Linked DNA regions of Lonchura striata. The protein of the gene in region 4 interacts with the protein of the main gene of each other region in a pairwise test. Links are inferred from orthologs where the notes say so. Each region holds a gene or a part of one and is shown on either strand. Other genes may lie near its edges. The genes, in order: ECPAS, MCEE, RMDN2 and AGTRAP.

Region 1 (7,821 bases), on a different chromosome or scaffold from region 4:
CACATTTGTGTAGCACAGTATCAAGTAAAACACACACCCTTCCTTTTATGAAAACTGACTCAAGAAACTGCTGGGGCTAGGACATGTCAAACTAGCTGTACTTTGTTTGACTGTTAACCACAAACATCTGAGGAACTAAAAGCAGCGTCTAAGTTGTCTGCAGAACAGAGCAGATCTATGCATGAAGTCAGAATTTATTTTCAGTTTCCTGAGAACTTGATAGTTTGACAGATTGGTGGAACTGTTACAAAATAAATCATTTCTACAACAGTTTCAGTAAATCAGACGAAAACCTCTGAGACCCTGCTCTATTACCTGAACATGCACAAGCATCTCTCCGCATTTTCTCCAAATGGCCCTATATCAAATAAAGAGTACAAAAAGCATTTCAATTTGACCTTTTGGATGACAGGAGTAGTTTTAGGGGCAGGTTCCTACTAAAGCAAAAAGTCTATCACGCCCTTGTGTCTCTCCATAACTAAGCAATTGAGCAATTGCTTCTGCATTATTCCACATGCAGAAGAATAAAGCTCTCATCTGCTGTGCAACTACCAAAATAGGAGTCAAATTCTTGTTCAAATGTTATTAGACTCTGGGAAAAAATATAACTAGTATGATTATAGCAGCAAACAGTGAGTCAGGATTTGCTGGTGCTATTCTTGTCTCTACCAGTAACCCCTTTTATGCCTATAACCAAAAGACTTAAGGGAGCACTTGTACAAACAGGCCACTCACCAAGCAGTCAATCTGCCTGGAAAAGGCTAGGAAAGCCTGTTGGAGGAAGGCTATATTATGGGTTTTTTTCCCATTATATTCTTTCTCTTTATAAAAAAGCTTATGTAAAAGCTTGAATAGTACATCAGAACCCATGCTGCAATTTGCAATATTCCAGGTACAGGTTCTCCATTTGAATGGATGACTACTATTACTCAAGAGTAGCTTGCTCCTCTTGCATCTAAACTCTTGTGGCTTTAGGGCCAAGTTACTAATTTTGCATTAATTTTTAAACTGCCATATCTTATGCTGCCTTCAAACAACCTGTCCTCTAAAACGAGGAGCATCATTTACACAGCATTTAGACAGAGTTTCCATGTTTGACAGGGGCTATAGATGAAAGCTTCCTACAGGCATTTACAATGCTACATGAATATAAAGCAAGGAAACCTGGTTTTCCAACCTAGAACTAATGGTAATTATTTTTGTTATTCCAGGACTAGTCATCTGTTACAGTGCACTCCGGCTGTGCTCTTCCCCATTTCCAGAGACCCCTGTGACTCTGATCAGATGAGAGAGGTAGGAGCATCAATCATCATCCTATAAAATAAAGGCTTTCTTTCCAAATATGCTGAAATGTAAGTATTTGAATGTATCAAGACAGCAAGCCCACACGGAGGCTTAGTTTCCCTCTCTCTTTCTCTACATTAAGTTACTCTTTTTTCCATTAGCTTTAATTAATTTTTTATTTAAGCATACTGTACTTTCTATTCAGTGACAGAGAGGTACCACAAAAAACCCAAATTAAACAAAACGAAATTTCCAAAAAGAGATTCCTCCTCCCACCCAAAGAAAATATTTCTAAGCAAACCAATAAAACTGTCTCATTTTTGAAGAACGTCATGGTCAAATAACCTGAGCAAAATAACGTAATTATTAATGTGACTCGTAGTCTAGGGATATGTGTCTTTCTAGTCCAGCTTAAGAGAAAGTCCTGTGTAGCAACAGGCACACGGCTGAGGACTAATTTTTTGCAAAATCAGATCTGGAGCCTGGAAAGTTAGATTACATACAGATAAAAGCCACAGAGTCACAAGGAAGATATTGGCTGGTTTCACCAAGGAGAATCACAATAGCATTGTGAATCTAACAACAGAATCTCTTGGATGACAGCAGCAGTAAGAGCTTGAACTGTCCTTACATCAATTTATCCCAGGTGTCAATGGAAAAAATATCTTGGCATTTCGGTCCTCCAGTTCTAGGATTAGTACAGGATCAAGATTTTTCTTTACTCCACCATGGGACCTTGGCTACATACGGGAGATCCCCACCATTATCATATCACTCAGCCTACTTCTAGTAACAAAGAGCAGCATTAGGATGTTGTCTACACAGAAGCTCACAATAAAAAAAAAAAAAAAAATTAAAAACCCCAAAAAACCAACAATGGAAAAATAAACAACAAATGAAGAACCAGCACATAGAAATTCTCTAGTACTGAAAGCTAACAGTACTCAAATATGCTCAAAGTATTTCTTTTGCCCTTTCTCTCTGACGACTGCCAAGTACTATTTCAGGGTAACCAGAGGCCCTCTCATTTGGCTGAGTCATATGCTATCTTGCTATTAACTCTTCACAGGTAAGAACCATCTTTACGCCAGGCCAGGAAAAACAAGGGAAGAGAAACCGCTTTTTTTGAAACTCCATAAGCTTATCCAAAGAGCAGCTGATCGGGCGCTTCCCCAGAGTCTCTGAGAAAGGGTTCTGGAGAGGACAAGAAGCCAGGCCGCGCTCCGCTATCTGGAACGCTCGGCGGCAGCGGCACCTCCGGTGCTGTGCCGGGCGCCGCAGGGGCGGCCGCGACGCGCTCCGTACCCGCGGCCCGGCGCCGCGCCCGCGGCGCGGCGAGAGCGCGCCCCGGGACCGCCAGCTGCGCTGCGTCCGCGCCGCCGCCGCGGCTCAGACACGGCGCTCGCACGACGCAGGGCCCAAGTACCGACGGGCAGAGGCGGCGCCGCTTGTGCCCGTTCAGGAGCGGTGGGCGAGGCCGCTCCCGCGGCGCCCGTGGTCCCGGCGACCCCAGGCTCCGTCCCGGCCAGGAGCCTCCGCTGCCTCCCCGCAAGGTCACGCAGCCGGCGTGAGGGGCCGGGGATGCGGGAGGTACCGCTGCTCCCGGTTTCCGCTTCCCGAAATGGCCTCCCACGGCCGGTCCGGCCCCGCTGCCGTCACCGCCCGGCCGGGCCGGGCACCGGGCCCCACCGCGGAGGAGACCCGCTGTGGGGAAAGCCCGGGCCGCCCGCCCGCCCGGCAGCCAGCCCCCGCTGCGAGTCCCTGCGCCGCGGGCACTTACTGAGCTCGTCCTGCGCGGCCGCGGCCATGTTGCCGGCTGGGGAGGGAGGGGAGGCGGCGAGAGACGCACCGCGCCTCCCGCCCCTCTCCGGCACCGGCACCGGGCCGGCGGCCGCGTCTCTCCTCCTCCTCCTCCTCCCTCTCCACCTCTTCCACCCCCTCCTCCTCTTCCTCCTCCTCCTCCTGCTCCCGGCGGCTCCCCTCGACGGTGGCAAGCTTCTGTCACCGCCAGTTTATATTTAGAGAGACCTGCCGTCCCCACCGCCCGCCCCCGTCGCGTACACGGCCCGGCCCCGCCGCCGCCCCGCCCGGCGGGCCCCGAGGAGGAGGTTTACGGGGGCAGCACTGACCGGAGTCCGCGCTGACCTCCATGGCGGCCGCGCCGGCTCGGCGCTCGGCACGGCGGCGCAGGGATGCAATGGGACGGGACGGGAGCGGCGCAGGGCGCCCCCGCGCGGCCGCGGGTGCGTTGGCAGGGGAAGGGCGGAGAGCCCCGCCCACAGCCGGGAAGGCCCCGCCCACCGAGCGGTATAACCACGCCCACCGAGCGGTATAACCACGCCCACCGAACGGCATGGCCACGCCCATCGAACGGCATGGCCACGCCCACCGAACGGCATGGCCACGCCCACCGAACGGCATGGACACGCCCACCGAGCGGCATGGCCACGCCCATCGAGCGGCATGGCCACGCCCACCGAGTGGCATGGCCACGCCCACCGAGCGGCATGGACACGCCCACCGAGCGGCATGGACACGCCCACCGAGTGGCATGGACACGCCCACCGAGTGGCATGGTCACGCCCATCGAGCGGCATGACCACGCCCACCGAGCGGCATGGACACGCCCACCGAGTGGCATGGTCACGCCCACCGAGCGATAGGACCACGCCCACCGAGCAGCATGGCCACGCCTATCGAGTGGCATGGACACGCCCACTGATCGGCATGGCCACGCCCACCGAGCGGCATGGACACGCCCACCGAGCGGCATGGACACGCCCCCCGGCTGCCGCTGCTGAGCCGCTCTTCCAGAGCCATTTCCCGAAGGGATAGAGCTGCTCCGTAGAATTCGTCCCCTGCCGTTCTGGGGTTACTCAGAGAGACAGCCACGCTGCGTCTTTTTCCCAAACTCTGCCATGCCATATGGAATCTCTGTAAGGAGCATCCCGGCAGCATGCCGGGGAGCGGACGGCGTGGCGCCCGCCCCGCGCCTCCCTCCCCGCTTCCTGCAGCCGGCACGGGGCAGCTGCTGACGGCTCCCTAAAGCTCCACGGGAGTCCCAAGGCAGACGTGAGCTCAAGCGAGAGGTGTCAAGAGGACTAGCTTGTTTCTCGAGTCAGGAAAAAAAAGGCGACAAAAGCGTCCATGTACCGGTTTTGTTCCATCTGTGCAATGTTTCTGGCTGAGCTGGAGTTCGTGTCCCCCACAATAGCCCCCATCTTGCTGCACTTTGCGTTGATAATTGGAAAGGTGCTGATAACACACCAGCTGCTGCTCAGCTTTGACTATTGCTGAGCATCAGCACTGTGTCTCCAAAATTCAAGGGGGCTGGGGGTGGGCAAGATCCTGGGAGGGGACACAACCAGGCCAGCTGACCCAAACTGACCAAAGCCTTATCCCATGGTATATGATGTCAGCTCAGATACAAAAGCAGAGGGAGGAAGGAGGAACGGGGGGGGGGGGGGGGGCATTCATTTTTTTACAGTTTTTGCATTCCAAAGCAATCTCTACGATCCTGAAGTCCCACTCCCCAGGAAATGGTCAGACATGGCTTGTGGCTGGGAAGTAACGAATAAAATTACTTCCTTCCTCTTAGCTTGTGTATGCATAAGTTTTTGCTTTTGCTTTAGTAAACTGCCTGATCTCAACCAACAAGTCGTTTTCCATCTTGTTCTGTCTCTCCCATCCAGCTGAGAAAGGGAATGGATAGAGCAGCTTGGTAGGCACTAGGCACCCACCACAATTTTTTAAGGTCATGGTCTGAGGAGTTGACTCACAGCCTCCAGTCATGAGAGACTGGGCTCTAATGAGGTGTAAAGAGGTGGACCTTTTTTTTTTTTTGAGGAAGCAGATTTGGAACCCATCCACAACTGATGTAAATCATAAGCATTTATTATTGCAGAAAGGAGACAGGTGGAGGAGGAGACCAGCCACATGGGAGGCACTCTCATTTCTAGCTATAATAGCTTTAAGAACAGCACATGCTCTGATGAGCTGACCATTTTTGTGGTATTTGCAGCATCAAGCCCATATCTACTTTCCTAAGAAATGTCAAACACTGAGGTGATGATGCTCCTGCTGGTTACACCAGAGCAGAGATGTAATCCTCCTTTCCAGGAGAAGTCTGGGTATGCAATATCACAGGTGGCAGACCTGCTGTCGAGGCCACTATTTGAGGGAGCTGTGCATACACAATCACTCAGAATCACAGAATGGGTCAGGCTGGAAGCATATCTGGTCCAACTTCCCTGCTTAAGCACGGCATCCTAGACAACATGGCACAGGATTGCATCCAGACAGTTCTTGAATCTCTCGGGTGAGGGAGACTCCACAACCTCTTTGGGCAATCTGTTCCAGTGTGCAGTCACCTGCACAGTAAAGAAATTCTTCCTCATGTTCAGGTGGAACCTCGTCACCCTCCCTTAGTATACTTCTAGCCATAGATGAGGTCACCTATCAATTATGTCTTTGGGCACCCACAGGAGGAATTTTCTCTATGATTCCGTGCCATGGAGGCAGTGTACTGGACAGTTCCCAAAGTGGGGCCAGTTAAATTATGGTGGGCCCTACAAGACAGGTGGTCAGACCCTGAGCTCTGCCAGGAGCAAGCCTAAACCAGGTACAGGCTCAGGAAGTACTTTAAAGGTTTCTTCCCTGACGAATCACAGAATCATTGGGATTGGAAGGGACCTCTGGAGATCACCTACTCCAATCCTCCTGCCAGGAGAAGGGTCACCTAAAGCATATGGCACAGGAATGTGTCCAGGTGGGTTTTGAACACCTCCAGAAGGGAGATTTTGTGATTTCCCTAAGCAGCCTGTCCCAGTGCACTGCCACTCTCAATGTAAAATTGTTCCTCGTGTCGAGGTGAGACTTCTTGTGCTTATGGCCTTCACTCCTCCTGCTACCGCTGAGAATCACTGAAAGGTCTGGCACCATCCTCTCGGCATCTGCCTTTGAGATGTTTATAAGCATTAATGAAATCCCCTCTCAGCCGTCTCTTCTGCAGACTGAACAGGCCCAGCTCCTGCAGTCTCTCCTCATGAGAAAAACGCTCCAGACCCCAAATCACCTTTGCGGCCTACTCTGGACCCCGTGTTTTTCTTGAGCTGCGGAGTCAGAGCTGCCCGCAGCAGATCAGACGCGGCCTGCCCAGGGCTGAGCGCAGGGGGTAGGATCACCTCAAAGACCCACTGGCAGCGCTCTTCCCAATGCATCCCAGGATTCCGCTGGCGCGGGCGCCACGCACGGGCGCACTGGGGGCCGGGGCCGCAGCCGGGGCCGCGGCAGCCCGTGAGGAGCCGGGCCCGGAGGAGCCGGGCCCCGGAGGAGCCGGGCCCGGGAGGCGCCGGGCCCGGAGGAGCCGGCCCGGGAGGAGCCGGGCCCGGGAGGCGCCGGGCCCGGGAGGAGCCGGGCCCGGAGGAGCCGGGCCCGGGAGGCGCCGGGCCGGGAGGCGCCGGGCCCGGGAGGAGCCGGGCCCCGGAGGAGCCGGCCCGGGAGGAGCCGGCCCGGGAGGCGCCGGCCCGGGAGGCGCCGGCCCGGGAGGCGCCGGCCCGGGAGGCGCCGGCCCGGGAGGAGCCGGCCCGGGAGGAGCCGGGCCCGGAGGAGCCGGGCCCGGGAGGAGCCGGGCCCGGGAGGAGCCGGCCCGGGAGGAGCCGGGCCCGGAGGAGCCGGGCCCGGGAGGAGCCGGCCCGGGAGGAGCCGGGCCCGGAGGAGCCGCCCCGCGCGGCCCCGCCTCCCTCCCGCGCCGGCCCCGCCGCCGGCCGCGCGCACGGCGCGGAGCGCGGCCCGGCCCCGGCGGAGCAATGGCGGCGGCGGCGCGGCGGCGTCCGGGCGGGCGCTGGGCGCTCTGCCTGTGCCTGTGTGCGGCGCTGCTGCCGCGGCCGGCGCGGGGCCTCACCGACCGCCTCTACTGCGGCCGCCGAGTCTGCTACGAGGTGCTGGGAGTCAGCCGGCAGGCCAGCAAGGCGGAGATCGCCCGCGCCTACCGGCAGCTGGCCCGGCAGTACCACCCCGACCGCTACCGCGGGGAGCCCGCGGGCAGCGAGGGCGGCGGGGCGCAGGCGGCGCACGAGAAGTTCCTGCTCATCGCCGCCGCCTACGAGACCCTCAAGGTGAGAGAGCGGGACCGCCGCCGCGGCCGGAGCCGCTCGGGTAAGCAGTCAGGGAGGGGAGGAGAAACACCCCGAAATGCCTCCTTCCGTAGCCAGCCCGAGAGTGCGGGAAGGAGGATGGAGTGCGCTTGGAAGTCCTTCTGTGTCTAGAACGGGTTGTTTTCAAATTTATTTATTTACTTATTTATTTATTTATAACCGACCGACTAGGCTTTATCTTGGAGATATGCCTTTAAAAGTAGCAGTGACTGGAGTAGCATGTGGGATCTGTAAGGGAAGGCTTCTCAGGGCAAAGCATGTGTGACTTGGCAAAGATGCAAAGATGGAACCCGGGAATGGAAGAAGGAGACGTGTAAGTGTTTTAAGGCTACAGGGGATTAGAAAAGGGAAAGGGAACTTTTTTTTTCCTTTCTTTCTTTTT
Region 2 (8,285 bases), on a different chromosome or scaffold from region 4:
ACCTATTAAAAGAGTAATAAATAAAAACCCAAAGCTGACTCAAATTTGCTGTAAATCTTTACATATACCTGTTGAAAAGAGGAAAACAGGACCAATTGTAAAGGCCAACTGCATAATGTGTTTAAAAGTGACTTTTGAAATTTTCAGAGCTTCTTAAGAAATGAAGAAAGAAATACGGATATGCCTATGCATCTCAAAATTATAGGAAACAAACAAAAAGGTCACAAAAAATAAAGATAAAAAATGAGGGTACTTGCAAATTAATTACCTTAAAAATCAATCTGTCAGTACCAAAATCTAGAGGGACTGGGGGTGGGGAGAAATTTTTATAGTATCAGCTGTTTCTAGAACCAAAATTAGAATTAGATTAAAAGACATATTCATAAAAGCTACATTATAATTCCATGCCAGTTTGCTTTAGGCCAAGTCAGAGCTCCCAATGCCTCAAGGCCAAGCTAGAGGCATCTTATCCTTTTGGGAGTCTTTGAGGTGTTCTTTCCGTTAAAGTCACAAATGTGCTATTTCGCTAAGAGATTGTGCCAGTGATGCACTGAGATTCTGGATGCATTGCAACACACTGAGGATAGATAGCCTGTCTGGGCTCTTGGTGCTCTGTAAGGTCAGTAATAGCTGTAATTAATTAAATCAGCTTTGCTTCACAGTATGGAACTGAGAGCTACCATTCCACAGGAATTCAAGATTTACGGCTATCAGTTAATTTTTCTTCAAACACTGATAAATCCTTAAACCTAAGTCTTTCTGAGCATGGTGCTGGGATGGAGGAAGAAATCTTTGCATGTATTTGACACTTAAAATTCCAACATGCAATGTGCATATTAGCGAGGACTCTATCACAAAAATAAGTCTATTCACAATTTTTTGTGATAATAAATCAACATCCTACATTAAGTATTTACAGAAACTTTTCCAGTGCTGCAAGTAACTGCCCTGCAGTATTTCTTGCCAGGTTTTCACACAGTCCATCCTATCATCTCCTTCATCACAGCCAGAAGCTCTGGACAATTCTTTCACTTAGTACCTTTAGGCTATCATACTGGTATAGGACAGCAACTGCTTTTCAACTTCTTACATGTTAAAAAAAATCCCTTTGAAATTTCCACATGAAAAAAAAATTGTTTTTCAAATGTCTGTGCATAAACTATTTTGTGGAAACACTTGCCATGTCAATGCAGCTGAATCAGGGTGAATCATGTTATTCTGTGAGGGAGCAGCACTGTGCAGTGCCTCAAATGCATAAGGTGCATGATTAAAGGCATGGCTAATTAACTAGTATAGGGCTTGACAATTAACCAGAGTAAATAAATGTGTTACAAAACTAACAACCCCCCAATATCTGCTATACAGTCTTTCCTGCCCACCTAAGCTTCTACTGAAGTAGCTCCATTTTGTACTGTAATTTCTTAAGACATTCTTGCTGAAGCAAGAGATATTTTTCCACTTGGAGGAAGGCAGTATTCTCTAAATAAGAAAAATCCTTTGAAAGAGAAGGATCCCTTACTATATAATTTATTATGTGTTCCAGAGCCTTTTACTGTTTTATTTTTTCTTCCAAATATTAACAGACTGCAGTTCAACAGAAATACTACTAATGTAGATATTTTTTCAAGCAGTCTTTACTAATGGGAAGGCAAGGATTTTTCCATTATTTTACATCTGACATCTGTAGTTCTTGTTGCACTTTACACAGGGCACATATGACCACACAGTTATTGTAATTTAATTTGTTTTTTTTTCTATTTCAAGTAAATAGACAAAGACACTGACTGTTTGTTACTCAGCTATTTGTGAAGCACTAGAAAAAATAATAGAAAATGCTCTTTCTTATGGGTTCTGCCCCAGAAATATTTGATTTCTTGTGCTGTTTCCTGGGAAGACAATAGACTGAAAAAGTGAAGTATATTCCTAGGATTCTTGTAAAGTCAAAGATACTTAAATACTCACTCATATAAGCGCTTATTTTATGAAGTCCTAGCTCTAGTCAGATGCATAGAGTGTTAATTTTAAATCCATAATTTAATTGACTGAGGTTAAACAAAAAGCGTTTGTTTTTCTTACATTATCTAGATCAGTAACTATATAGATTACTTAAAATTCTAATCTTCTTCTAACCCAATAATCAAAAATGGCCCTGCAGTGAAAAAGAAAGCTTTTCAGCAAACTTCAGATTGAAACCCCATCATCTCCACGTTTCCAGGAAAGAAACACTTGTATTTATATATGCATCACAAAACTAGTTCTATAGTATATAACTTTCTTCAGCTTCATTTGAAGAATATTTTTAAATTTATCTATTTGGGGATCATTCTATTGATGATTGACTCATTTACTTGTAGTATGCACATCAGAGTTTAAATATACAGTTGTACCAAGTAAGGGCTACATTCTTCAACCGAGCAGATTATAAAGTAACAAGTTCAAATGTTTATTCGTAGCCTCGTTTTTTGCTTCTGATGTGGATTAGTGCTCATTGACCTAATCAAGGAAACTAAGGAATCAAATACAAGCCAAACCAAACTGAATTCAGTCACGTTCTCTATGGGAAGGTTTTACAACAGTGGGTTGCAGCAAGAACCTTGTCATGGGCACTGCTTTATCGTCACTCTTTTCAGGTGGTGACAAACTCCCAAAGCATGGAGAGGATGCTGTTACCAATCTGGCACATAGGGGCTGTGTGTTCACTCTCTGGGCCAAATGGAGAAAAGGGCATAGTATGGTCATTCTTAAATTCCAGCAATTTCAAGGTGGTGTGAGCATCCTGGGAACTCTGGAGACTAACTGGGCTCACAGTACTGCTCTGCTGTGCTGGATGGGGCTTTTGGGAATTACATGGGCTCCACAGCTCAAGGGAACTGAGTCTCAGTGTGCTGTGGCTTTTGTTCCTTCCTTCAAAGTGCAATCATACGAAGGTGTTTTCATTCCCAGTATCCTACTGATCGATCACTGACAGCATTGAGCCTCTCATTCACTTTTCTCCTGGTCTGGGGCTACCAAGTAAAATGTTTTAGGTATTGTGAGTTAAACCTACCCTACCAGAGTGAACAGTACAGGTTATTACCATAAACGGCAAATTATTTTGAATTTTACCTCCAAACCACACATCAAAAAGACAAGTTCCTCCTTGCACTTTAGGCTTGGCGTTTGCTCTCTAAGTTTACCCTACGCAGCTAATGTCAGTGGTTAATGCGCCCGTCAGCTGGATCGGGAGAACTTGTTTTTATTGCAGAAGCGGCAGCTTCGTTCGGCCTGCGGAGCTCTCCCGGGGAGATCCGCCAGGCCGGAGCGCACCCCGAGCCCCGCGCCCGCCGCCCCTCCTTCCCGCCGCCCCGCTCGCCGCCCCGCGTTACCGGCCGCTCCGCGCCGCAGCGCCGCCGCCATCTCCGCCCGCTCGGCCGCGGCGGCGCCGCCCCCGGCGCCCTCCGCGCGGCAGCGCCGAGCCTCGCCGGGGGCCGGGCCCGCCGCGCCGCGCCATTGGAGCCTCGCGGGGGCCGGGCCGGCGCTGCCCGGGCCTCGGAGACAGCGTGCCGAAGAGCGCTGCGGTAGGAAGCGGCATTTGCCGAGGAAGTTTTCTGAGCAAATCCCACAGAATCAGTTAGGTTGGACAAGACGACCGAGATCATCGAGTCCAACCTATTACTGAACATGTCATCTAAACCAGAGCTCTAAGTGCCACATCCAGACCTCCCTAGGTAACTCCACCACCTCCCTAGGCAGTGCATTCAAGTATCTAATCACCCCTTCTGAGAAAAAAAATTTCTTCTGATGTCCAACCTGTCCCCTGGTGCAGCTTGAGACCATGTCCTCTTGTCCTGTTGCCAGGACAAGTGACACCAGGAGGGTGTCTGGCTGGACCCTCCTGGTGTAGGAAGTTATAGGGGGCAATAAGGTCACCCCAAGCCTCCTTTTCTCCAGGCTCAGGCCCCCCAGCTCCCTCAGCCACTCCTCATCTGACTTTTCCAGCTTTGTTGCCATTCTCTGGACTTGCTCCAGCATCTCACAATGTCCTTCCTGAGCTGAGAGGTCCAGAACTCACGGGTGGCCTTACCAGTGCAGAATACAGGGGAACAATCACTTCCCTGGTCCTGCTGGCCGCGCTCTTCCTGATACAGACGGGGATGCCGTGAAGCATTGTGCCAGAGAGACTCAGGACAGTGAGCAGGCTGTCTGCTGATGCTGCAGTCTTGCTGTGTCAGGCATAGCACACTGCAACTAGCTGAGATACAGCCTAAGTAGATAAACAGCTTGTGCCACTTCAAATCTTAATTTGTGACATTGCAGGGCATTCTTTGCACTGAAAAGGCTTTATATGTTGGTAGGAAAGAAACATGAAAGCGGCAGAGGCAGGAGAAGTATTGAAGTTAAAAGGTTAGTAGTCACAGTTTTGGATCAAGTTGCAGAAGGCTGTGTGGGTGGCTGGAAACACAAGGGTCTGTGGGTGTAGGGCTTAATTTTACTTTACAAAATAAACCTTAAGAAACTACATGATGTAAGAGGGGACTTGCAGAGCACTGGGCAGTGCTGTGTGGATGGTGAAAGGTGTGTGTGTGTGTGCACATCGTTAGCCTGAACTTGTAGACACCAGGTAAGATCAGGTGTTTTACCGGCAGAATCAGCTGGAAATGTGCAGTTCTAAAACAGCCCTTGCATCTAGGTCAGAGATTCAAAACCGTGAAGTGAGATGAATGTACCTTCACTATATTTAGAGCAGGTTTCCCAGTGCTGATGCAAATCCCAGTCTGCAGCAACACCGCGCCCTTCCCAGGGCGGCAACCAGCAGCCACCACGCACGACTGCCATACTGTGCTGGGGGTTCTGGGAGAACGAGGCGCTTCTAACGGAGGGCTGGGCCAGGGGGCGGGGATGCCTGGTTCAGGGGGCGGGGATGGCACGGCTCGGAAGCGGGGCGGGGCAGAGTTCCGCTGTGCGCGGAACCCTGGCGGCGGCCGCGGAGCCGGCCGGGCCTGAGCGCGGGGCGCGGCGGAGGCGGGGCGGGCCCCACGTGCGCGCGGGGCGATGGCGGCGGTGCCGCGGCTCCCGGGGCTCCAGGGCATCCAGACGTGCCTCAGGGTGGCGGGAGCGGCGGCGGCGCGCCCCGAGTGCTTCCTCAGGTACCGCGGGGCGGCGGGGGGAGGCATTGGTAGCCCTAGAGGAAAACCTTTTACACCCAGCCAGGTGTAACAGTTGAGGAGTGGGGCGGTGGAGAAGCGCAGTTACATCTTTCAAACCTGGGTTCTGGCTCTTGGACGATTGAGGTGTTTAGTGCTGTACTGTTTACTTGCCCAAAATGTCTGGAGTGCTTAAATAAGATCAACATATTGTAAGATGCAGCTGTAGAAAGCTGGGATTTTCTGTCCAGCTGCTACTTCCTACACGAAGTGTAATGAAACTGAAAGGATTAATAATTTTGTGATTTTTTTTTCTGTGACTGCGTAGTAGCAGTACTCCAAGCGATGTATGGAAAGTTAAGCCGCAGCAGTAGCTATTGAAAGGTGCTGTTCTGCAGCACCAGAGAACCAAAGCAGGTACAACAAGAGCAGCCGTGTGATTGACTTAGTGGAAAGTGTTAAGCTTTTTTATTTTTCTGCTCTCAGTGTGCAGGATGGGCTGGCTGCCGACTTCAGAGCGATGACAAAGACTCTCTACGATTTGAATAAAGGAAGTAACATAGTTCGTGGGGGTCCTCTAAAAGAGCTGGTGATAGAAAAGTTTGATGAAGAACAGATTTGGCAGCAACTAGAGCTCCAGAACAATGCAGTTCTCGATTTCTTCAAGAAATCCATTGCAAGGGATGCCGAGGATGAAGATCTTTGCCTTCTCTCAGACCAGGAAGAGGATGGCTCTGATGCAGAGACCAGCAGTGACAAGGAGTTGGAAGACAGCATAATGGAAGCAGAAACTGAACAGATGAATGTGTATACAAAAGATAAAGAAAAAGATAAAACTAAAGCTAAAGAAAAGCAAAGTAAACTCAGAGAAAGTGTAATGCAGAAATACAGTGATGAGGATTCTGATATTGACTTTGATATTGAAGCACTGGAGCAACAAGCTAAAACAGCCAAGGAAACCACACTGAGAAAGAAGGGAAGAAAATCTGTAGTGGATGACAAGTTTTTCAAGCTAGCTGAGATGGAAGCTTTTTTAGAACATGCAGAGAAGGAAGACAAGGAAAAAGAAGAAGAAGAAGATGACATTAATTATTTTGAAGACATTTTCTCAGATGATGATGAAGACTTAGAAGAAGCTAAAGTCAAAGTGAGTTTTTTCCTTCAAATCAAAATCTGGTATCTGTTAGGATGACCATAAAATGTTTAACTCTGTAGAAACTGCCAAGTTACATTTGTTTATGTAATTAATGATTACTTCTGAAGCTTTACTTTAACAATTAATATCTGGTAAGAAAATTTCCTGGTGTAGAAGGACATAGGATCCTGCTATTCCAGACTCTCCTTACATGGGCCTTGGGCTTTTACATGAATAAAGGAAGAGATAATACCCACAGGAAATCAGAGGCCTTGAAGAATTGCAGAATAGGGGACCCAGCAAATGAAAAGATCAGCATCTGGCAATTAGGGATCACTGAGGTGGCTGGTGCAGAGCAAAGGGTTTTTTCCAGGGACATGCCTTGTGACTGTGATACAACTTAAATTGATGAATAATTGATTCTAAAATAAGTATATTATTATTCAGTATTACCAGACATTCTCACAAGCAAGTAAGAAATAGACCCAGGGAATCGGTGTGCATTCTAGCAAGTATTTGGCAAAATGTACAGTTCCTTGACTTCTGTATGTGTAAGTGGTAGAGAACTGAAAATACCAGGAAAAGAAATCAGTTTTACTATGATCCTCTACCACAGGTTAAGGCATCACTACCCTGAATTATTGTTGCACTACCCTAAATTACTGTTGCACAAGAAGTGCTGTTCCCCAGGCACTAAAGACTTTAAAAGACAAGATGCTCTTTGATTTCTGTCAGTCTTAACAGCTGTGGTTTGTTGTTTGGGTTTTTTTTCCCTCTCACCTTTTTAGCCAATAAAAAGTTCAAGAGATATGACATACAAAGATTTCTTTGATCCAGTTGATGATGATGATGGTGATGATGATTTAGTAGCTAATGATGCTGAAGAGGATCAGGAAGAGGAAGCAGACAGTGCCATGGAAGAGCAAAATGAAGGAAGTATGTCTGAGTAAGTAAAATGCAGGTAAAATGTTCTCATAATTTTACACAGAAGTAAAGCAGAAAATACTGAGAATTCCACCCTCACTCTGGTCACACTGTGCCATTCTCAGTTAACTGTTGTATGTTCATGGTTTATGTTGTCAGCTTACTTAATTTTTTAAAATATTGTCCCTTGAACTTTATTTGAATAAAGCATTTAAGAGTTGTTCAAAGTTATTTTTATTATCCAGAAGTTTCCCTAGTGTCCTCTGCCTTTAGGGGGATCCCTGAAACCTGTTGTAAACTGTAAGTTACTTGTAGCAAGTAAACATCTAAAGGCTGAAATACTTTAATGTGAAAAATTAAAAAGGCTTCTCAACTTTTATATTAAATGTTGTTGTTACAGGTTTGAGGATATGGATGAAATGGTGGAGCACATGAGAAATAAAGAAGCTTCTAAAAAAGTAACTTTCAATTTGCCAGATGACAGTGAAACAGAAGATGTAGCTGAAGGGCAATTAGAGAAGGGCATCAGTCCCAGTGAAATAAAGTCATCATTTGAGAAGAGACAGGAAAAGGTAATTTTGGTTTGGTTTTCTTTGAGTTTTGTTCATATTTTATTTGGCTAATACTTCAAAACAGTGGCAAATAACTTTTGTTTTACTGGTTGTTTCATTTGTTCAGAATCCAGCAAATAAAAAGAAGGTATTTAAAATTTAAGGAAGACATGTGGTTTATCTACATAGATACATCTGCAATCATATATTCCCTCATGTACCTGAAATAAATATTAATTTCTTGCTGCAAGTTTACGAGTGAGCTCTGTTTTAAACTTTGTAGGAAATTGTGTTTTCCAGATGAGCAAAAAAATAAAAAGCTTGGAAGAAGCATTGTTAGAGGAGAAACCTTGGCAGCTGAAAGGAGAAGTGACTGGACAGAAACGCCCTGAGAACAGCCTTTTGGAAGAAACGGTGCTTTTTGACCACGCAGTCCGAATGGGTAAGGAGAGGGACAGGGCTTTGCTCACAGCATGTGCCAGACCATGCTGGGTATTCTGCCCTTTCACCTTGCTGAAAACACCTGTGATTCAAGAGCAGGGTAACAGGAGA
Region 3 (7,627 bases), on a different chromosome or scaffold from region 4:
CCATTTGTCAACTCAAAACAGAAGTGCTTAACTCAAGCAAAATCCTGTCTTCTAGATCATGAAATTACTGCTGAGGGAGTGAAACACAATGCACTTTATATGGGAGTACAGAAAGGTGAAAAACATTTTATAAGTAACAAAGAGCAAATTTTTTTTCTGTAGTGCACAAACAAGCACCTGAATGCACCATTGTGTGGAATGAGCCACAGAAGAGTATAAAACAATGCATATGGTGTAATGCCTACAGCATATGAAGTAGTGATGTAGAGTAACTGGAAAAAACCCAAGTGTTGCTGCTGACCCTCCTGGCCATGCACCAGTCATTAAAGTTACAGAAGACCTCGGAAAAAAAAAAAAAAAAATATATATATATATATATACATATATATATTGCAATTGTACACATTAGGATTAACAACCTATTTGCAAGAGTACGAAAAAAAACCACTATTTACTTAAATGAAAATAAATTATCTCACATTTAAAAAAGATATGAAAAACAAACACATCAAGTGCAAGGTGTTAATAGGAAAAAAGCCCACCTCTTTTCATAAGGGATTGAAAAACAGCATTGGGAAAGAACATAGCCAAATGACTAATGCTAACTGTAACCTTGAATTATTTTCCTTGCATCTGACTGTACACAAATAGTTGTCAGAGAAGGCCTCTCTTAAGGACACATTCAATGTTCTTGCACACTGTAATCACTTGTATTGGCTCACCGCATCAGCTTCTTTGTCACACAGAAGAACCTGAGCACACAAGTTTCCTTGTCTTCTTTTCAAAGAGCAACATATCACTCCTGATCAGAAAACAGCATTTTCTCAAATGCTACACAGGGAATAACCCCTGCATTGCATCTGTGGACTTAGTAATTCATAAACTGATCTGCATCTCTGAATATTTTATTTGTAACATGAAGGCCTCTGTAAACTAACCAGTGGATGAAATACTCTAAGAAACTAAAAGAACCAGGATGGTCCCACACCAGATGAAGGAGGAATGTCATTGAATACTTATGCCAATCCTGAATACCTAAAATAAAGAACTGGTTCATAATAGAACTGACAGGTCTTAAAATATGGTATCACAATATAAGTCTTGTGAACCATGTGGGCTGGGATGTAACACAAAAAGAAATTCTGCTCGCAGGAACTGAAAATGAACGTGGAAAAACTTAAATATAGCATTCCATTAATATGCAACATCTTAGCTGTCTTTAGAATATTACAGTTAGTTAAAGTATTTTTAAAGAGAAAAGGTGACATAAGATGGGCAATTTACAGACATAATGCTGCCTACACAGACGTGTAAGACACTCTGAGAAATAGCTCAAAACACTCAGTTGCTATAAACATAGTATTAGTAAATTGCATGTAAGTATCTAATCTGATTATACCAAAACAAAGTTGTAATTACAGGAGACTAATGTCAAGACAAAAATATAGTGCCTCTCCTGGACTCCTGGTACATATCATCCCCCAGCGTGTTCCTCAACTCATGAGACTAAAAGACCCCATTAACTACAAAATGTGATCAAAACTAGGAACTTTCTACCGGACTGAGTCAGTACCCTAAATTCCTCATGGTCATTTTTTGAGCCACCAGAAAGTGTATGCACATATACATAAGCATTGCCACTTCTACAGAGGTTCTGCGCAGATGTAGCTTCCACAGTATGCAATGCTTCTAGGCAGAACACTGTAATAACTCATCCGTGAGGCTGATAAAAAACAATTATCAGGAAAAGCACATGAGCATTTGTACAGTTTGAACTAACTCTGTTAAAGACACACTAGGAGAACTTTTAAAATTACACCATTATTCTGAACTTTGCCTCTCATTGCATAGCTATGTAGCAATACTGCATCAGTGTTACCAAACACACTCTCAAAAAAAAAAATCTGTATTATGCCTGGCATTAAACCAACTTCAGCCATAGTGCAGACTCAGAGATGGCCACCAAGAGTCTTCACTGATCTAAAAACCCTTAATCTGAGCATTTGTATTTACTTTTCCAGAAGTATAAAATCTGAAACAAACGTTTAAAGGGCTCCTGTTTACAGTTTCACATAGGTAATGATGCAACTTGTACTGCACGTGTACAGTAGAATATACAAGTTATTATTAACTCACCCTCCTTCACTTTCTGCCTCCTCAGAGCTGGTAGTTTCTCTTGTACTAGCAGTTGTCTCTGCTTTTCTCCGCCTTGTTGCTCTGTGTGATGGGCTAACTCTCTGAACACCACCCTTTCCTTGAAGCTCATTTCGAACAAGTTCTTCAAGTTTTGGAATAGCTTCTTTCAGACATTCCACCTCTCTCTTCAGTTCATCCACGCTTAGTAGCAGCCCATTCAATTTTTCCAGTATCTGCAGCTGCCTTCCATGTAAAACCATTACTGCTCCTTGCTCATTAGGAGCCTCATTTGGCAAGCCCACAGAATTAATTCTGTTACCTATATCCTGGAACGCACGAACACACACAGCTGCAGCAGGTTTTCGGTTCTTGTGGTACCAAACGAGCACCAGGCTTAATCCAGCAGTCCCTGCCATTATGCCCAGTATTAGTCCTTTATTTTCGAAGGGAGACATTTCTGCACACTCCTAGAATTATAAGAAAACAACAACAGTTTAAGATGCTTCCCCCTGCTCTACACAAGAGATTTACTCCACTCTGAAATCAGGAAAGCATAAGGCAGAAGAACTGCAGACACAAAGTTACACTTTTTGCAGGTTCTGCAACGCTAGGCAGCAAAAACAAGCCCAAAGTGGGTTTGGGGGTGTAAGGGGCGCTGGCACGTGGGCAGGACTGCAGCCTTCACTCTTAACCGTCCCAGCATCCAGGGATTTGTTTGTTTTAATGCGAGAAACTCATATAATCGGATTTTCCGCCACTGCAGAGGCGGAAACCCAGCTGTCAGGCCGGAGGGGCGTCACGCCGGTCCCCCAGCCCCTGCCCATCGAGAGGCTGCCAGAGCCCCGCGTTCGGCTCCGGCTCCTGCCCCAGCCCCGCAGCCGCCCCAGCCCCGGACCCGGCCCCAGCCGCCCCGGCAGCGCCGGCCCCGGGCCCAGCGCCGCCCCCGGTACGTACGTATGGCCGGGCCGCGCCGGGCCGGGGCAAGCCGGGAGCAGCAGCGCGTCCGGCCCAAGAGCCCGCAGCTCTCCCGCCGTGGCACAGGGGGCGGCGGCGGAGCCGCCCCGGAGTGGCGATACCCGGATCGAGGGGGCCGGGCCTGGGCCGCGCCGCCCGGCTGCCGCGCGCTGCCCGCCGCAGGAGGGGTCCCCGCATCGCTGGGAGTCCCGGCGGGCTGGCTGCACCTGCCACGGACCTGACTCGAAATACGCCGTTCTAGAGCAAGTGTACCTGTTCGTGTGTCTGTCCTCAGTCTGGTGGCCGCTCGATTTCACCGATATAACCTTTTGCTACTTCTAGGCCACAGAGAAATTGTGTTTCCACTGCATTGGTGGAGACCTGAAGCTGTAAAATCACGGAGAAACCCCGCCCCGTTGTCAGGAAGACGGGCAGTCCCGGCACGAAAGCTTCATTGCAATTTAAGGCATCTAAGGGCCCAAAACTGATTTCACCAGTGCATTACAGATTGCCCGAAGTCTGGAGGAACTTACCATAGAACCATATAATGGATTAGGGTGGAAGGGAACCTTAAAGGTCATCTAGTTCCAGCCCTCCTGCCATGAGCAGGGAGACCTTCCTGCTAGAGCAACTAGATCAGGTTGCTCAAAGTCCCATCCAACTTGGCCATAAACACTTTCAGGCTTGGGGCACCCTCAGCTTCCCTGGGCAATCTGTCCCAGTGCCTCACCATCCTCACAGTAAAGAATTTTATACTAATGCATAATCTAAATTTATTCTTCAATCTGAACCCACTTTCCCTTATCATGTCACTCCATGTTCTTGTAAATGGTATTGCCCCATCTTTCCTCAAAGTTCCCTTCAGGTGCTGGAAGGCCACAATTAGCTCACAACAAAGCCTTCTCTTTTCCAGGCTGAACAATCCCAGTTCTCTCAGCATTTTTTCATAGGAGAGGTGCTCCATCCCTCGGTTTAACCTGGTTTTCCTCATCTGGACTCATTCCAACAGATCAGTGTCCTGTGTTGGGGACCCCAGAGGTGGATGCAGCACTGCAGGTGGAATCTCACCAGAGCAGAGTAGAGGGGCAGAACTTGGATTTATCAGAGTGTGGGGGGTATTGCTCCTGTGCCCCATCTGAGATCACTTTTATTGGTGACTATCACAAGACTCTGCTTTGCCCTTTATGACAAAAGGATCTGGCTCCTGTTTCTGGCCTTGGATGGAAGAAGGATCACCACGGACAACCTGCTCTGACCATTCATCTTCCTGAAGGCTTGTGGAGAGCCTCTGCACAACATCCTACCAGAATTTACAGGCATAAAACTCATGTTCTTCTGTGTGAGGGCTTAAGGCAACCATCATGGAAACCACTGTGTCTGTGCAATGGAAGAAGCTTTTTAGCAGCTGAAATTGTCCTCAACCATATCAATCAGAAACAAAGAAACACAATTCTTAAAAAACATACTAATTGCCTTTAAAAAGTGAGCAGAGTGCTGTTCAAGACAAAAACAGGTACCTAAAACAGGTACCAAGAACAGAAGATTTTTCAGTCTTAGTACAAATTAGCAATTGTAAATCAGTGTAATGTCTATTTATCATCAAAGAATTGTTTAAACCAACTACAGCTCTAAACTAATTCTTCATTAAGATCCCGAGGATTAAATTACCCTTATGAGACCAAACTACAATCTGAGACAAAGGTAGAAATTTGTTAGAATGAAAAAGTGAGTACTGTTTCAGTATTTTGCAGGTTTCCCAGTTACAATATAATAATAACAAAATGTATAATCTGTTTGTAATTAGAAATTTTTAAACAAAGGATGGAAATCTCTTTAATTTTATGGAAACTTCACTAAACTCAATTATTTTAACAAATTTCACTATAAGTAATGGTTTTAAGATACACAATCTCTCAGTGTTTTAAAATTGAACAAGAAAACATGAATCTCCATATGCTGATAGTGCTTCAAGTGTTCAGGAATGGTAATCTAGATGTGTTGGAAAACCTTTAATTTTTATTTTCATATTTTTTCAGTTTATTCTGCCAAAATCTTTCTATAAGCCAATTAAAACAGGAAAGTATTTTGAAAAGAGTATTAACTGGAGGGCAAGCATAGCACAGAGCTGAAACAAAATACTATGGATGCAAAAAGCTAAGTGAGTATTTTTGAAGATTTTCCAAAGCAACTGTCTTGGGCTGCAGGCCTTAGACAAGGAGAACTGTTTTCAAAAAATAATGTCTCAGGAGAACTACCATCTACAGCTGCCTGGATATGTATCAACTGTGAAAATCAGGTCACCTGTCTGATCCCAAAAAGTTATTGATTATATGTAGAAACTTGCTGAAACACAGCAGCTTTCCAAGCTGGAGAACTAAACATCAATTTATCTAGATTTGACATAATTCAATTGGCCTAAATATGACATATGTTCTAAAAAAACTGAAATAAATGCTTTTAGAAAAGCACTATTCTTCTGCATATGAATTTTTCCTAGTTCAAAAGCAACTTTGTACCTGAAGTCCTAAAAAACAAGTCCAGACAACCATCTGTTATAAAATGGTTAGCCCCAAATATTTTTAGTGTATTTTCAGCCTTATTTCCTAAGAACACAAAGTTTATGTCCTCAGGTTGTCCGTGTGTTGTCCTTCTCACAAGCTGTACCATGACACTTTCTCCACCCAGTAGCTCCTGAACATGGAGCTTAATTTCAGCCAATTGTGACAGAATATGTCAAGATCATGGAATTGTAGAATCATAGAGTTGTTGGGGTTGGAAGGCATGTTCATGATCATCAAATTCCAACTGTCCTGTGATGGGCAGGGACGCCTTTCACTAGAACAGGTTGTTCAGGCTGCATCCAACATGGCCTTGGACACTTCCAGGGATGGGGCATCCACAGCTTCTCTGGGCAGCTTGTCCCAGTGCCTCACCACCCTCTGAGTAAAGAATTGCTTCTTAGCATCTAATCTAAATCTCTCTTCTTTAATCTAAACCTACTTGTCCTATCATTATTTGCCCAAGTAAAAAGCCACTTTCCCTCTTTTTTTGTAGACTTTTTGAAGTATTGAAAGGCCACTCCAAGTAGTTTCAAGGAGGCTAGCACCCCGGCCCCAGCCAGATGCAAAGGAATGAACTTAGCACACCAATGCTGCAACACTGACACACCTACATAGGGCACCAGCCTTCTTACAGCACTATTTTTGTAAAACCAGGACAGGCAGTTTACTGGTCTTTTGGGAAAATTTGAACTTAGACAACATTTTTGTGCCATATTAGAAAAGTTAGCACATTATTGAGTGATTGTGTTCAATGGATCAGAGAGCCATTACATAATGTGTACATAACTTACACAATGTAAGTAATTGATGCATGCTGTTTCCAAACAAAGTGAGCATAATCTACTGGTGGTTTCACTTCTGTATGGAAGGCATTTGTGTTTTACAATTTTCATAAATTTCTTTAGCTGTAATTCTTCTTTGCATTTTCTTTCATAATAGGCTGTTCTTTCTGAAATGTCCCTCCCTCCCCCACCCCCCAGAGATTAATCTACTGCTTGTAACAGATACAGAAGCCTTTAATGAGCTAGTAGCAGTTCGTTCTTATTACTTCAGCAGTTGTCTTGTAGGTGTAAAGTCAAATATTGTTAATATGTCACCAAACATTGTAAAAGCTTAAATACCTTTGACCAGACTTTCAACCAACCTGCCAGAAATCCTTTCTGGATGCCAGAACAGTCAGAAATCACTGTTCTGTCAAGTTTGGTTAAATTCTTCTGAATTTTTTGCTACAAAAATAAAGTTATATCTTACCTCAAAGGGAAGCACTCACTGTCAGACTTTCTGCTGCTTTTGGTCTGAACAGTTGTCCAGTGCCCCTAATGAAAAATTAATAAATTGAAGTTAAAAGGAGATGGGTAAGAGTACACTGATCTTTTCTGTTTTCTTGAAATAAAGATGTACTGCTTAGCACAGTTCCCTGGGGAGATGAGGCTGACTGCCTTTATGTCTCAATGCATGCAAATATAACCATAACTCTCCCTCCTCCCCAGTGTTTTTGAATCTTTGGCCAGCCTCAGTCAAATTCAACAGAGAAACTCTAACAAATTTTGTTGAGTTAGTTGATCTTTTAAAGAAGAAATCTCTGAATTAGAGTCACTGCATTGGGGAAGATTACTTATCCTTTGATGTAAAACTAAGAATCCACACAGGAGAAAAGCATTTTGCAAGGACCGGAAAAGCTAAAGCAGAGCTCACATTTTATCAGATGTGAACAAACAAAACTGCAAGTTATAACCTGATAGGAAACCTGAATTCATCAGTTCTACTGCACTCACAATCATCTGTTTATTTATTTACTGATAGGATTGATAGGATCCAGTGCTGCAATTTCAGTTAAGTACAAATGGTCACTGACGGCACAGCTTTTCAAACAGCAAAAAAAAAAAAAAGTACGTACTGTTCCTGCTTCTTTGTGTCTTCAGGAATCTCAAGGACATTATCAAAATATATTTATACAAGCTCTGTTAATTGTTTTA
Region 4 (7,481 bases):
AATGGCTGGTGGTGTTGGTATGCTTTAACACAGAAAATATGGTGTTAATGAAAAACTACAAGCTACTATGTGAGACCAGTTAATTTGCAGGCACTCTTCTAATAAAACAGCAGAAGAATTTAAAATTTTTCCATCTATCCAAGGACTTAAGTCTGTAGATAAGACAGACATACATTTCTTCTTTTGAGAAAATAACTCTGAAGTTATTGATGAACTAGTGGTGAGAGCAGAAAATAAGAAAGGTGGGTCTTTTGTCTCCATCTCCTCTGGGAAAAAGGATGGCTATGTAATTAAAAGCATCCCATTGGAAACTGGGGAGAGCTAAGGAGAATTCCTACCTCCTTTGCAAATCCCAGCATGTGATGGAACTAATTGCCAAGCATAAAAAGAGCCAGTGTCTGCCAGGGTCTCATTAGATGGGAAGCTCTTTGGAACAGGAACTCTTTTAAACATGCTTCAGCACAGAGCTTAGCACAAGACTGAATTTTGAAGAAGTTAAAAATGAAACAGTTCCAAATTAAAGTTATTTTCTTGGTTTTATCTAAATTTCTATTTTAGAGTGAGCTCGCCTACTCTACGGCATTCACCTGAGAACACACAAAACCAAAATATTAATCTGAGTGGCCACCTGTGAATATGCTCCTCATTATTATAACAGAGTGATAATAATGAGAGTGCTTAAGCAGTGGGACAGACTATACAATGGGGCTGACATGGCTCTGTTCTTATTTTAAAACTCAGCTGATTTTTGAGTTGAGCTATTTGATCTAACTTTGCAGTTTGCCTTGCTTTGAGTAGGAGGTTTAATCACATGGCATACAGACATCTCTATTATTCCTTGACTCGGTGACTTAGCATTAAAAAATGCCTAAGCACAAAATACGTGTTTCCAGGCACATGGATTGTAGGGCATTGTCCAGCCTTGATCAAACGTTGTATTTCAAGGCTCTGCATGATTATTTCAATAATCATGGCTGTCATGGCAAAAGTATGGCTGTGCTGCTTCCCCCGTTTTGCTGAGCATGGCTGTTAAAACCAAGCCAGTAGATCCTGTTCAATGAGCATGTTCCCCACCCACTCCAGGGCAAAGCCTACCTTAATTTTACAGCTCTGCAAGGAGCTTAAAGAGAGACCCCAAGGCTAAGATACTGCTACATTCTGGCACAGGCACAGCTCAGTCATGCAGCTTTCTTTGAACTATCTCTATCACAAGACTCATCTTCATAATCTCACAGAACCTGTAAGCAGATCATGCCAATGAATAGCAGCAGTGTGTGTTACTTACTCTTCTGAGTAAGAATCTTCCCCACCTTTGTGGTATTTTACAGGGAATCAGGCCCTAACTCAGGTACAGAATGAAGTGCAGGCACAACTATTAACTCCCAATTCCTGTCTTTGCAGCTCAGAGCAGAAGTGGCAGACTTCACAACCAAGAATTTCTTAATGCTGAAAACAGTTTGCCCAGGACAAACTCACACTTATCTAGCAAGAGACTGGGAAAACAGTTGTCTGAACAAGAGAAGAAAAGCAACATTTTAGTTTTGTTGTCTTTGTGGCTCATTCATTGAAAAGTCAGTGTTTTTCAGCTCCCCTATCTTCATTTCTCATGGAGAACATGTATTTCGTGTTGGCAAAATTTTTAATTAAAATGTCCTTAGTTTTCACTGTTGTTTTAGCGTGGAAAAAAAAAATAATCAAACCAAGTTAAAAAACAAAGCAGAAGGCAAGATCTTTTAATCTTCCTAGTGCCCTGGGAACTACACAGTAGTCCAAACTTGTCAGAGCAAAGTATCAGCTAGTTTCCAGAATGTAATATAATCCACAAGCTGGGCCTTGAAAAATCCATTTGCTTACTTGCCTCTAACAAGGGAAGTTGCTTTTCTTGGTGAACTAGTAAGAGGGGTATTCATCATTATATGAACAGCAATCTTTTCTTTAATACAGCCACATGAAAGCTGTCCTGTACAAAGCTGAATTAATAATGGTAGCTGAGATAATTCTATTCTCTCTTCCAACCCATAGGCAACCTGGTCCGAGGCCACTGCTCACAGCTTAACGAATCACCAGCAAAAAAAGCCCTGATGTGATCTGTGATGCTTTCAGTCTCTGGGCAAAGCTTTAACCAAAGAAAGCACCTGAACCATTCTGCATTAAATGAAATCACAAAGTAGCAAAGCTGGGAAAGGACAGAAACATCTAGAAATCTCAGAGTTCTGAAAATGTGAAAGAAAAAAGAGAAAAATATAACGTATCTGGTAGCACAGAAGACATCAGAATCAAATATCGACATCAAAAGCAAAGTGTGATTTTAACATCCACTGGCTTGTCACCAAGTGCTTCTTCCAAAAGTGAAAAATGTTATGTTACTGGTTAAGTCTCTTATATCTCCTTTCCCTGGTTATCAGATATTCATTGAAATTTCCGAAGTGCCCACAAGTGGAGCCTGCCCTCCCCAGCAGAGAAGCAACTGCAGTTATGTCTCAGATGATAAGCCCCAAGTAAGTGAACTTATTTTTCTAAGATACTTTGTCTGACAAGCAAAACTTTGTCTCCTCAGGATTGAGGAGTGCAGTGTTTATCTTGCCTTAGTTCTGGTCAGCTGAGCTGGAAACCTCCATGGACACTAGTTAATAGCCAGCTGTTGTCTCTGCACAGTCCTTAGCCACTTCAGCAATATCTCTGAAGTAGGGTCAAACTTTGGAGTCATCACCTGGTGGGTTTAACTAAGAATCATAAAATACACTGAGTTGGAAGGGACCCATCAGGATCACCAACTCTTTGCACTGCACAAGACACCCCAAGAACTCCAGCCTGTGCTTGAGCTCATTGTCCAAATGCTCCTTGAGCTCGGGCAGGCTTGATGCTGTGACCCTGCGGAGCCTGTTCAGTGCCTTATCACCCTCTGGGGAAAAGGTTTTCCTGATAGCCAACCTAACCCTCCCCGCGACTCGGATTCCTGGCGTTCAGAACTTCTGCACCCTTTGCGCATGTGATAAAAAAAAAAAAGTAGAAACTTCAGTTTTTCCTTCTTAGGAAAAAGGAGGAAAACTTCAGTTTCTTCTCCTTAGGAAAAAGGAGGAAAACTTCAGGTTTTCCTCCTCGGAGAGCCCCGCAGCTCCGAGCAGGGCCTCAGCCAGGACGTGGAGCAGACATTCGGCTGGAGAACGTGCGAGAGGAAAGGATACGGGGAGGGCTGCCCGGAGTGCCCGCGGCTCCACCCGCCCCAGGAGCCCCCCGGCCCCGCTCCCCGGCCCCGGGGCAGGGCAAGCCCTACCTTGAGGCTGACGGCCGGCAGCTCCATGGCAGCGGCCCCGGGGCCGCTCGGTGCGGCAGGGCCGGGCTCAGGGGCGGGGGGAGCCGGGACACCGCCCCCGGCCCCGCCCGGCCCGGCCGCGTCGGGCGCTGCCGGCGGTGCTGGGCCCTTGCAGAGCTCGCTGAGCTAGGCGTGTCCAGGGTGCTCTGCCTGCCTGGTGTGAACTGTTATAAACGCAAATTAGTCCAGCCAAATTAAAAGTGAAATAATAAAATGTTTATTTAGGATCGAATTCTTCCCGGGCCCAGAACAGGCCCTTGTCGGAGCTCGCTGAGGGGCGGCTGCTTAGGCGTGTCCCGTCAGGGCAGACAGCACAGGTGCTCTGCCTGCTTGATATGAACTGTTATAAACGCAAATTAGTCCAGCCAAATTAAAAGTGAAATAATAAAATGTTTATTTAGGATCGAATTCTTCCCGGGCCCAGAACAGGCCCTTGTCGGAGCTCGCTGAGGGGCGGCTGCTTAGGCGTGTCCCGTCAGGACAGGCAGCCCGGGTGCTCTGCTTGCTTGATATGAACTGTTATAAATGCAAATTAGTCCAGCCAAATTAAAAGTGAAATAATAAAATATTTATTCAGGATTGAATTCTCTCTGAGCCAGCCACAAGGAAAAGGACAGTGCCGAGCCCGGGTTCGGCGCTGGGTGCATGACAGGAAGGAGCCTCTGGCAGAGGTTCCCCTGGACACACACAGACCACACTCCTGGGCCCTGCAGTTCTTACAGGAAATTTTCCGCCCGAGGCCAGGATTTCAGCCTTTTCTTTCTATTCAGAGTCCCACATATTCATAAAGTTCTTTTCTCCGAGCCGGGGTTGAACAATCCAGGTCCAGGTGTGGACGATTTTTCCTGATTTTCCTGGCGTTCAGATGTATCAGCCCGGAGGACTCCAGTGATCCCAATCTTGGATTGTTACCAGGATGATCAGCTCCCAGGTCCTTTGGGATTGATCAGCTCCCAGGTCCTTTGGGACTGATCAGCTCCCAGGTCCTTTGGTATTATTCAGCTCCCAGGTCCTTTGGTATTATTCAGCTCCCAGGTCCTTTGGGACTGATCAGCTCCCAGGTCCTTTGGTATTGATCAGCTCCCAGGTGTTCCAGCCCATCTCCAGACCGGCCACATGTATAAGATTGTAAATGAGGCATTGTCCAACAAAACCCGGCTCTGGTGTAACCGAATATGTGTGGGGGGGCAGCTCACAGTGCTGGTGTGTGTAGTTTGTAATAACTAAATATTACACGTGCCAAATCATATTTCCCTTGATTCAATACAACAATATTTCATTAGCGCAAATTATAATAATGCATAACAGAATTATCTTGATAATGCCTCTTTTATGTGTAGTAAACATAATTTGCGCCATTCCTTGTATGAAATATCTAATATTGGATACTTGACAACCCTAACAATTCTGTGAATTTGTTTCAAAAGCCACCATCAAGTTAAAAATATGCATATATAAGTTTCTTGGTTGCAAACACCCAGCTAAAGTGTGCACAGATCAGTTTGTTGGCTGCAAAAAGGCAGCCAAACTCTTCCTTCTATTTGCACATGCAATGTAGTGAGACAAGGTTGGACATTATACTTTGGTTGTAATCAGTGTCTGGGAAAGCTGTGTGCAAAGGACTTAGCAGCTTTCTGCAGGAAGAGTTCTTGTGCATATATCAGTGGTCTGACCAAAATTTAAGGAGTTGCAAAGAAACTGTTGATAGACACCAACAAAAAGGTTATTTTGAGGTGCTAACTGTGCTCAGCTACGTCACCCAACAGCTAAGTCAAGTTAAGGTCAGTCTTAGGTGTTGAGGCAGTAGCTAGGATGGCTGGCAGGTACACAGTTGATTCCCTTGGCCCTGGATTTTTCCCCTAGAACTCAATGACTGTATCCTTTGCCTAAAATCCTGGTGCAAATAACAAGTTCTTCATTTCTTATTCCTAAAGAAATCTGGTTTCATTTTAGAGCTAGAGAAGTTGCTAAGTGACCAATTCAACCCCACACAGTTCAGCTGTAATTTACCATTTCCTGTGTAGTTCATACCAGCAGCCTTCTCCCCAAGTCTAGCAAATGAAGTAACAGAACCCAGAGGTCAGGATGACATTTCTCAAACCCTCCTATCCTTGCCTAATGTGTGCTGTCTGCAGTGTAAGGCTGTGATGTCTTATTAGGTTAGTTCCTTTCTTGTCATTATTCCTTCTTAAAGAAAAGATGGGGCCTCTGAGAAATTAGCTGGGTCAGAGGTTCATTGCAGAAGTTGGATGTGGAAATGCATGTGTCATCCTTCAGTCTCATTTCCAGTTCAAGCAGTGAGAATTGTGCAGTGCTGAACCTACCATCAGACATTCTCAAACAAGCCACAAATGTAGTGCTATCCAGCCTGTCCTTGACCGTGTCCTGAGTGCTATTGACTGCTTCAAGCAGCACACTTCAAGATTTCCCAAGGCAAAGCATTAAATGCCAAAATGAAATTACCTAGAAAATGCTAGGAAGCATAGAGGATAAAACTAACTGGCTGCATAGCTAAGAACAAAAGTAAAAAACCCAAAAAGGCTGTGAAAGTCCCCTCAGGAATCTCTGAATATGTCACTTTCAAATGAAAGATTGAAATATAACTCCTATTTCCTCATGACACATGAGCTGTGCCTTCACTTCCATTATTATGTCTTGCATGGACACATTACTGGGTCTTGCAGGGAAGTCCTGTCTTTATCTACAGAAGTGGTGGTATCAAATAACATCAATGCTAGTGGTTCCAGTAATGCCAAGGAATGACTGGATTTCAACATAAATGACAAAAATATGTGACACTTGGGATGGGGGAAAAGCTAAAGAGCCTGAATAGGCACACTGCTGGCTCAGTGCTGTGTGCGAAGTGCACTAGGATGCCCTTCTGCCCAGACAGGTATCTTTCAAAGGAGAGCTGTTTGTTAGGAACATAAATTCTGCTGTCCCAGTTGAATGATAAGCACTGATAGGATGTAGCATCATGTGGGCGTCTTTGCTCCCTTCAGCTTTCTCACTCAGCCTGAGACAGAGTCTCATTATCATTTATGCAGCGTGAGCCATAATTTGAATTGATGTGTCCACTGTTCAATGCAAAGCATTTCCCCTTGTACAATAAAAGCACTTGATTTCATTTTGTTCATCAGTGTATCATGCAGTTAATTCATCCCTGCTTATTATATCCTGGGCTTGCATGTCAGGGACTCAAGGGATTTAGGAATTATCTCATGGATATGAAAGCAATGAGAGCTGTGACTGACATTATGCATTTGTATGTCTGTCACACCTGTGTGATCTGGGGGTTGCTTGTTTTTTATTTCTACATTGTGCTGGTGTACCTTGTAATTTGCCTCTCTGTGTAACCACTGTCTCTCTTCCCTTCCCCAGGTTTAATGAAGAAACACAACATGGTGAGGAAGATAAGCAGTAAGTTAAAGAAGGGCTGCAGGGAGAAGCAGGTTACCCAGGAGACTGGATAAACAGATTTTTGTGACTAGAAGACTGCTCCAGGTGATTTCAGCTCACTGCAACCAATGCCCAGCAATTATCTGCTTTATGCAAAAGCTGTTGTTTTTTAAAATATTTTGGTTTGCCTTGTGCAGACTGAGTAAAAGCCTAATACACAGCTGGATCTCCACACTGATAGCAATAAAAGTGAGCTAATAAAGCAGAAATGCTTTCCTTTGCATTTTCAGGACACTGTACCCTTGGTGTGTAAGATGATAGCAATTCCATAGGTTAATTCCATAGAGTTAATAAAATTGCTTCTGCTGTCCTTATCTGGCCCTTGGAGGTGGAGACAAGCTCCCCTCTCATAGTTCTGCCCTTCTCCCCCTCTCTAGGGGTTTAGTCTGAAGACAACTAAAGACTGCAGCTGACACCAGCATCTCTAAGTTTTGCCCCTGGCTATGGAGTTGAGAGCAGTGAAGGCACCAGCTCAGCACAAATACATATATATATTAGCCACAGAGCCTTTCTGAATAAGTAGTGAGGAAGGACATATAGAAGTTGCCCGGCTCTACAAACTCCCTTTTAAATCCCAGTGGGAAATCAGCAAACAGAATCATTATCTGTATTGGAGGGGAAAGTGAAGGTATTTTGGATGCTGGTGGAAAGCCTCCTCCTGCAATTGCAATGCAAAACAGACTATGGCAAGGTGATTTGGGGAGTGGAG

What was found.
Region 1: the proteins of AGTRAP (region 4) and ECPAS interact in binary tests that used the Homo sapiens proteins (3 or more experiments, as listed by UniProt). The two-hybrid records come from large-scale screens. The link is inferred for Lonchura striata from reciprocal best matches to the Homo sapiens genes AGTRAP and ECPAS.
Region 2: the proteins of AGTRAP (region 4) and MCEE interact in binary tests that used the Homo sapiens proteins (3 or more experiments, as listed by UniProt). The two-hybrid records come from large-scale screens. The link is inferred for Lonchura striata from reciprocal best matches to the Homo sapiens genes AGTRAP and MCEE.
Region 3: the proteins of AGTRAP (region 4) and RMDN2 interact in binary tests that used the Homo sapiens proteins (3 or more experiments, as listed by UniProt). The two-hybrid records come from large-scale screens. The link is inferred for Lonchura striata from reciprocal best matches to the Homo sapiens genes AGTRAP and RMDN2.

The regions. Positions count from the first base shown.
Region 1 is NC_134642.1:61,498,488-61,506,308, forward strand, and holds the start of ECPAS (proteasome adapter and scaffold protein ECM29), read right to left. Parts: upstream 3,357-7,821; 5' UTR 3,093-3,356; coding exon 3,065-3,092; intron 1-3,064. Other genes in the region: DNAJC25 (dnaJ homolog subfamily C member 25), read left to right, coding at 7,092-7,400. UniProt on the Homo sapiens protein: Adapter/scaffolding protein that binds to the 26S proteasome, motor proteins and other compartment specific proteins. May couple the proteasome to different compartments including endosome, endoplasmic reticulum and centrosome.
Region 2 is NC_134613.1:9,525,917-9,534,201, reverse strand, and holds the start of MCEE (methylmalonyl-CoA epimerase, mitochondrial), read right to left. Parts: upstream 3,429-8,285; 5' UTR 3,397-3,428; coding exon 3,366-3,396; intron 1-3,365. Other genes in the region: MPHOSPH10 (U3 small nucleolar ribonucleoprotein MPP10), read left to right, coding at 5,032-5,126, 5,610-6,270, 7,047-7,204, 7,583-7,754, 8,034-8,175. UniProt on the Homo sapiens protein: Methylmalonyl-CoA epimerase involved in propionyl-CoA metabolism.
Region 3 is NC_134605.1:33,517,661-33,525,287, reverse strand, and holds the start of RMDN2 (regulator of microtubule dynamics protein 2), read right to left. Parts: upstream 3,474-7,627; 5' UTR 3,364-3,473; intron 3,212-3,363; exon of another isoform or gene 3,091-3,211; intron 2,604-3,090; 5' UTR 2,592-2,603; coding exon 2,137-2,591; intron 1-2,136.
Region 4 is NC_134626.1:5,566,640-5,574,120, forward strand, and holds the start of AGTRAP (type-1 angiotensin II receptor-associated protein), read right to left. Parts: upstream 3,349-7,481; 5' UTR 3,302-3,348; coding exon 3,275-3,301; intron 1-3,274. UniProt on the Homo sapiens protein: Appears to be a negative regulator of type-1 angiotensin II receptor-mediated signaling by regulating receptor internalization as well as mechanism of receptor desensitization such as phosphorylation.